Linked DNA regions of Pelodiscus sinensis. The protein of the gene in region 2 purifies or fractionates together with the protein of the main gene of each other region. This does not show direct contact. Links are inferred from orthologs where the notes say so. Each region holds a gene or a part of one and is shown on either strand. Other genes may lie near its edges. The genes, in order: LRRC59 and ASPH.

Region 1 (3,910 bases), on a different chromosome or scaffold from region 2:
TCCTTGTCTTGTCCTCAGAAACCAAGAGGAACAAATTTTCTCCTTCCTTCTTGTGACACCCTTTTAGATATTTGAAAACCGCTATCATGTCCCCCCTTAATCTTCTTTTTTCCAAACTAAACAAGCCCAGTTCATGAAGCCTGGCTTCATAGGTCATGTTCTCTAAACCTTTGATCATTCTTGTCGCTCTTCTCTGTACCCTTTCCAATTTCTCCACATCTTTCTTGAAATGTGGCGCCCAGAACTGGACACAGTACTCCAGCTAACATAAGAAGCTAACATAACTGCTAGTTATCAAATTCCCACCTCATCCTCCCATGAAGGCTAGTATCCTTCTACAGATATTTTCAAGCAGATCCCACCCTCTTCCACAAAGCTTTTCTCTCCTCTTACCGGTAAGGAAGTGAGATTGTTACAGGACAAATCCAATATGGTAGCCTTTGGAAGGGCAGCCTGAAAAAGAGCCAAGGAACCAAATTAAACCTATATCAAAGCTACAAAAACAACAAGGAGTTCCGTGGCACCTTAAAGACTAATATATTTATTTGTGCATAAGCTTTCATGGGTAAAACCCACTTCATCAGATGCACTGGAGTAGAAATTACAGAGATAGGGATATATATGTACTAGTATAGGGAGTTACTTATCAAGAGTTTGACCAGTGACTGAATTGGGCTCATTAACACTGGTCTTACACTTGATAACTCCCTTCTTTTGATATACATGTATGATATTGAGATTATATATATATATATTATATCTGCTTTTCTAATTTAGTGGGTTTTACAAAAGCTTATGCCCAAATAAATCTGTTAGTCTTTAAAGTGCCACAGGACTCCTTGTTTTTGCAGATACAGACTAACACAGATACCTGAGACTTATCAAAGTTACAGTTCTTTAACATGTTTGATACTTTGCTGCTTATATTTAAGTTTTTTGGGATTTCTCCCATACATGGAGTTTTAAGAATTTCCCAGTTGCCACCATTCAAATTATTTTTGCAACTCTCTTACATCTCACTCAAAGTCAGGGTTTTATGAGCACTGCTCCCACTGAAATAGGTTCTTTCACCCAAAGCCTCCATTTAATACACAATCTGGATTAAACCAGATTAGATCAATAGGAACACACTTTTCTTCAGGTCACATCAATCCCCAAAGTCAAAACAACAGGAAAGATTCAAGGTTGCATATCCTTATCTTCCCTTTTTTCTTCAAACCAGGAGAAACAGTGTGAGTGTGCCTTTAAATACTGAATTGGCATTACCTTGAGCTGGTAAAAAACAAAATGTACACAGGGCCCAATGCATCCCCAGACCTCAACCCCACCCCTTCCTGGACCAATCTGTAATTCACAAAGACCAAGTGTAATCTCAAAAGCTCCCCTGCAATACCTTAAGGCTACATCTACACTGGCATGATTTTCCGGAAATGCTTAAAATGGAACAGTTTTCCGTTATAAGTATTTCCATAAAAAGCACGTCTACATTGGCAGGATGCTTTTCCGGAAAAACACTTTTTCTGGAAAAGCATCCGTGCCAATGTAGACATGCTTTTCCGCAAAAAAGCCCCAATCGTCATTTTCGCGATCGGGGCTTTTTTGCAGAAAAGAAATCTGTGCTGTCTACACTGGCCCTTTTCCGGAACAGTTTTCCGGAAAAGGACTTTTGCCCGAACGGGAGCAGCATAGTTTTTCCGGAAAAGCACTGATGATTTTACAGTAGATCGTCAGTGGTCTTCCAGAAATTCAAGGGGCCAGTGTAGACAGCTGGCAAGTTATTCCGGAAAAGCGGCTGATTTTCCGGAATAAGTGGCCAGTGTAGACACAGCCTAACACTTCCCAGAAAAGACTGATACTGACCAGCTCTTTGACTGGCACCTCATTCAGGTCACTCAGGCTCAAGTCCAGTTCATTGCCATCAAGTTTGTCTTTCAGGTTCACTCCTTTTCCTCCCGCTTTTGCCATGATCCTATTAACAGATAAAGAGTCGTAAGTAGCTCACCAAAGGGCCTCCTTTTTTGGGGGAAGGAAAAAAGATCAGGAATGGAAGAAGGGGCACCAAAAGAAATTGGCAAACCCCTAGATTTTCTTTTAAGCTGTATCTACCTAACAATTACAGCAGGAGTCTGGACAGCTGTTGTGCTCACCTTTTAAAGCCAGGGATATTTTGATCCCCTTTTAGATCTTGCTCTGGATGCCAGAGTGTTTGCCAGTTCAGGCTAACTGTGGACATGGTTTTTGCAACCTGTCTACCAGGAACTGGACTGACAGCCCATTTAGCAGAGGCTACTGAAAGGCCACCAAATGGGAACAACTATTAGTCTTTCCTTTTTACCAATTCAAGCTGAATATGGATTGTAAACCTATACCTGTGACACCTGATAGGCATCACCACCCTTCCAGGATTTTCTGGCTAAATGAGCAAGAATTTTATTTTCTTAGAAATAACCCAACCTCCTCCGATGCCCCTCATGCCAGCAGGACATCTAGGCACAGTGAGAACACTGTAAGGTATCTGTTTGTCCTACTACCAAGAGTAGAATTGATTGGGTTGTGGTGGGGGGAATCCAAGGGTCTTTTTGAAGAGAGCTCTCTGAAGGGCAGAAGTACAAGAGAGGATGGTGAATGGAGGGAGCAAATACGTAGAGGTGGAAGCGGAAATGCTGTTTAACAGCAGTGGCCCAGTTCCCGGACTCTGTCCCACCACATCTTGCTGTAGCTTTGGAATGTTTATTCCTTTGCATTCCAGTAAGGGAGAAAAAAAGCACAAAGGCAGAAGTGGGACATATCCCCTCTGCCCCAGCAAGCCACTAGAAAGAGTAGGCGACCCTGTCCCCCAGCAGCTCCATCTCCTGTGGGAACGCCCCAGCCCAGCCAAAGCTTCCCCGCAAGGGACCAAGGGAGCCTCAGACTGCCAGTCTCCCCAATACCCCCCGCACAGGGCCCCCCCTCTCCCCAATACCCCCCGCACAGGGCCCCCCCTCTCCCCAATACCCCCGGCACAGGGCCCCCCCTCTCCCCAATACCCCCGGCACAGGGCACCCCCCCATGTCCCCACACAGGGGGGCCCCCTCTCCCCAATACCCCCGTCCACCTCCGCACAGGGCCCCCCCTCTCCCCAATACCCCCCGCACAGGGCCCCCCCTCTCCCCAATACCCCCCGCACAGGGCCCCCCTCTCCCCAATACCCCCCGCACAGGACACCCCCCCATGTTCCCGCACAGGGCCCCCCCTCTCCCCAATACCCCCGCACAGGGCCCCCCCTCTCCCCAATACCCCCGGCACAGGGCCCCCCTCTCCCCAATACCCCCCGCACAGGACACCCCCCCATGTTCCCGCACAGGGCCCCCCCTCTCCCCAATACCCCCCGCACAGGGCCCCCCTCTCCCCAATACCCCCCGCACAGGACACCCCCCCATGTTCCCGCACAGGGCCCCCCCTCTCCCCAATACCCCCGGCACAGGGCACCCCCCCATGTCTCCGCACAGGGGCCTCTCTGCCCAATACCCTCCGGGCCGCCACCGAACCCACACACGGACGCCGGGCGCGGCCCAGAGCGGGCGGAGCGCCCCGGCCCAGGCCCGCACTCACCGCCCCGCCCCGCACTCGCCTCCACTGCCAGCCACTTCCGCATCCAACATCCACGTCTCGGCTCAGCCCGCCAGCGCCAACGAGCCGGCCCGCTGGCCAAGAGGGACCCGCGCTCAGGGCAGAGCGGCTCCTTCGGCAGGGCTAGCGCCTCCTAGCGGGGGGAGGAGGTGAACAAAAGGAAGGGGAAGGTGGGGGGGACAGAGGAGGCGGAGGGCGAGAGGGGAGGGTGAAGGCGGGAGGGGGGCGGAGGAGGCGGAGGGCGAGAGGGGAGAGGGGAGGGGGAAGGTGGAAGGGGGCAGAGGAGGCGGAGGGCGAGAGG
Region 2 (3,910 bases):
TCTTTGCAACTGGAGCCAGCAAGCATATTTGCACCTCCTACCATAGACTCCATGGGTTCTATGGGGCTGGAGCACCCCTGGGGAAAAATTGGCCAGTGCTCAGTACCTGCTGGCAGCCTTGCTCCTGCCTTCTGTCTCTTCCTTTCATCTATAGTAACCCACCCAGTGGCTCTGCTGACCAACTCTTCCACCTCCTTCCTACCTGCCAGAACACAGCGGCTGCTGCAGTGGGACAGATGCTTAGGAAGGGTGCAATGGGGGCAGGACATAGTTGGAGAAGAGGTGCTATTTTAGAGGAAGGGATGAAGTGGGGGCAGGGCTGGAAAGGAATGGTTGATTACCCCCAAATTACAGGTGGAGCCAGTCCCTATGCTAGTTTCCCACCATTTTCCTTCCCCATATTCCTATTTACATTGCCAGTGGCTGAGCCCCCTGCTTGCCCCACCCAGGTTATAGCCTAGAACTACAAACAAGGCCCCTACGCAGGAATTTCTGTGGGGGTGGGAGTGCTTTTTTTTGTAAACGTGGAACACAAAGGTGTGAATGCACCACCACACTCCCCCAAGTAAGCAGAGAAATCAGCCCCAGCCTTCTCCAGACCTGCCAGAGCATGGGGAGGGAGGATCTAGCAGCACGCTGCTCCTACCTTGCTCCTGCCTTCCTCTAACTGGCTGGAGCATGCTTACTTGGTGGACCATGGGGGCTGCTTTTGCAATCTTTCAATCCCCCCTCCCGCCGTACTGGCCTGCAACACATACAATGATTCTGCCTCAGCCTATGCACATTGCCCTTGACTCCATGCCGCCTGTGGAGTTGAGGCTATTCAGTCAGGCTTGGGGGGCAGTTACATGGGCAAAAGCAAAATGTAAGGCTGCGTCTACACTGGCACGATCTTGTGCCAAAGCGGCTACTCTTGCGCAAAAACTTGCTGCCTATCTACACTGGCCATGTGTTCTTGCGCAAGTAAATCGACGTTCTCATGTATAAAATCAGGCCTTCTTGCGCAAGAACTATCATGCTCCCGCTAAGGAATAAGCTCTCTTGCGCAAGAGCTCTTCCAGAAGAGGCCAGTGTAGACAGGCAACATGAATTTCTGTGGTTAAAATGGCCATCAGAGCTTTCTTGTGCAAGAGAGCATCTACACTGGCATGGATGCTCTTACACAAACGCACATGCCAGTGTAGATGCTCTTTTCTGGAAGAGTTTTTGCACAAGAAGCTGCCAGTGTAGATGTAGCCCTGCAGGTCCTTTACCAAAGTTAGGTTGAGGTAAGGTGTCTTGCCTGGGTCGTGCCCTGCCGCGTACACCTCCCGTGGGTGCACAGCAGCATTAGCCAATTGCAATAGCTCCTGTGTCACCAACACAAGCGTCCTTACCCCAGCTAACTGAGCACCCCTGGGACTGGTTACTAGAGGTAGGGAAACTGAGGCACGGCGGCTCACTCAGCAACGCAGCTGAAGCCTGGCTACCCCACACTCGGCCAAGCCGCCCCGCCCACGGGCGCCCCTCGCTCAGGGGCAGCGCGCGCCGCTCCTGCTGGGTTGGAAGCTGAATCCTCGCGAGAGCGCTCCCATGTTGCCACGTTCCAAGCGCCCGGTTTCGGCACGGAGAAAGAAGCGCAACGCATCCCACCCAATCCTTTTGTCCGTACCAATAGAACGCACACGATGCCCCGCCCCCTTCCGGCGAGAGCGCTGCGATTGGTGGAGGTGGCTCTCAATCGGCTTCCGAAGGGGGTGGGTCCTTTGGCCTCAGCCCCGCCGCTCACGTAGGGTCGGTTGGGCGGGTAGCGGCTCCTCCCCTCGCGAGCGCGCGCAGTCCCCTCCGCTACCTGACAGACGGTGACATGGCTCCGCGCAAGAGCTCCAAAGGCACCGGTGGCGGCAGCAGCCCCAGTCAGGGGCCCAGGAGAGGTCAGTGCCGCCCGCCCGGCCGCGGCAGCCCCGCCCCGTGTCCCGCGCCGGGGCTGGGCTTGAGCAGCAGGCTGTGGGGGCAGAGCCGCGGGACGGGGCGGCTCCTGGGAGCGCAGGCGGGGTGCGCCGGGCAAGGGGATGCCGCTCCCCGAGTGCCCGGCGGCGGGGGCCCGTCGAGCCTGCAGCAGCCTCGGCCCCTGGTGCCCCGCGGGGAGTGGGCGGGGCGGGGATGTTGGGGCCCCGCGGGACTGTGGGCGCCGCTCGCTGCGTTTTCGAAGTTGCCGCTCTCTTGAGTGTCTGGCTCCGGTGGCCGGGCCTCGCTGCACGCTGGGCTCGTGCGGGAGTCCCGGGGGGCAGGAGGTGAAAGCGGCGGGTGGGTGCGGGAAAGCGCCGGCGGGGTTTGTGCGCGTGTATCTGCCTCCCTCTGACTGCCTGGTCACCTTCAGCCTCCTCCATGTGTTTACGTGTCAGCTCAGCGCTTGGAGGGAAGGGAGGTCGGAACAGATGGTTTAAATCTGTTACTCAGATTTCATTTATTCCCCTTTTTGCTCGAGTTTGAAGTGGAGGAGAAGCTTAGCGTGTAGCTGAGCAAACAGAGGAATTCCTCATTGCAGAGGATTAATCATGAGTAGAGCTGCATGTATTACTAGGTGTGCTTAGCCCAGTAATTTTAAACTTAGAAGTCTTAGACAATCAAGTCTAGGAGTGTCTTAAATTCCTGAATAAAAAGCAGGCTGCTTTTTGCAAAGAACTTTACAGTGAGCGTTGCAGTGAGTGAAAAAGTGCACTTTGGCATATTTTTAAAATAAGACTGCTTTTAGTGACTTGATACCACCATGTATAAAATACTGATGTCAAAATATTCTTTTGTTACCGTAACTGTCAAGTTTTTATCTCTAGTAATCTGAAGGCTTTTTAATTAGCTGTAAATTAGAAAGTGCAGATATAAAGGAAGATTTATTTTCAGAAAGTAAGACATGAGCAACTTGAAACTGGGTTAACAAAACTAACAATAGAATTAATAATTTTTTACAGTAAACTCACATAAAACAAAGTAAACTTCTGGGAGGAAAATACATGTCAGGTGAAAGTATATTAATGCCTTTCTGGTAGTTATATAACTGTACAGGTTGTAAAGAGCTGATCTCGTTAGCTTTACGGTGAGCACGCTTTGTGCCTATACATTGTTAGCTCTGTGGACTTCTAATTTTTCAGTTTTATTTATCACTACTAGCATAGATACAAGGTTGATCACGTGATCTCAGCCATGTGCATAGTACTAGTAGAACTTACAGTGCTCTATCAGAGGTTTATACATATGGCATTGTACTTATTGATCATTTTGATAATTGAGTACAGTGGTTTCAAATGACTCTAAAGAAACAATGTGGTTGAGGTAATATCTTTTATTGGGCCAACTTTTGTTGGTGAGACAAGTTTTACAGTTATACAGTGTTTAATTAGGTTAACAGCTGGTATGCCCCTTAAATTTCTCTTGAACAATTGATCTGGGAATTATGGGTGTTTATTATAATAATCATACAGCAACAGGAAAGAGCTTATTTCAGTTTTAAATTCTGTAAAATGCGTCTTTTGAAAAACAAGACATTAAAAATGCATCCTGTATAGAATCTGGGCTACTATAGAGAACTCCAATACACCTTCCAAATTTGTTTTAACATTTCAAGTTAAAAAAGCCTGAAACTCTTGATCATATTTACCTATGATGAGTAAGAACTTTTCCCAAATATTTATTAGGGATGTTAAAATGCATTTATTTAGGTAAATGTTTACCTGCTGAAAATTTCAGCAGATACACATTTACACATGGGGGGAGGGAGGGGAGTTGGGCAGCTCCCTAGGAGCTGGTGTGCGAAAGACAGCTCCCTGTGCATACTGGCTCCCACGGAGCCACATCTTCCCCACACGCTGCTGCCTCTGCATCTGATACAGTGTGGGGGGAGGAGGCTACATGTAACCGTTTACACATTCATATC

What was found.
Region 1: the proteins of ASPH (region 2) and LRRC59 purify together in Homo sapiens (co-immunoprecipitation; 3 studies listed by BioGRID and IntAct, with this or other methods). This does not show direct contact. The link is inferred for Pelodiscus sinensis from reciprocal best matches to the Homo sapiens genes ASPH and LRRC59.

Annotation. Positions count from the first base shown.
Region 1 is NC_134730.1:13,990,301-13,994,210, forward strand, and holds the start of LRRC59 (leucine-rich repeat-containing protein 59), read right to left. Parts: upstream 2,386-3,910; 5' UTR 2,234-2,385; coding exon 2,148-2,233; intron 1,970-2,147; coding exon 1,861-1,969; intron 454-1,860; coding exon 394-453; intron 1-393.
Region 2 is NC_134712.1:61,045,574-61,049,483, forward strand, and holds the start of ASPH (aspartyl/asparaginyl beta-hydroxylase), read left to right. Parts: upstream 1-1,723; 5' UTR 1,724-1,846; coding exon 1,847-1,913; intron 1,914-3,910.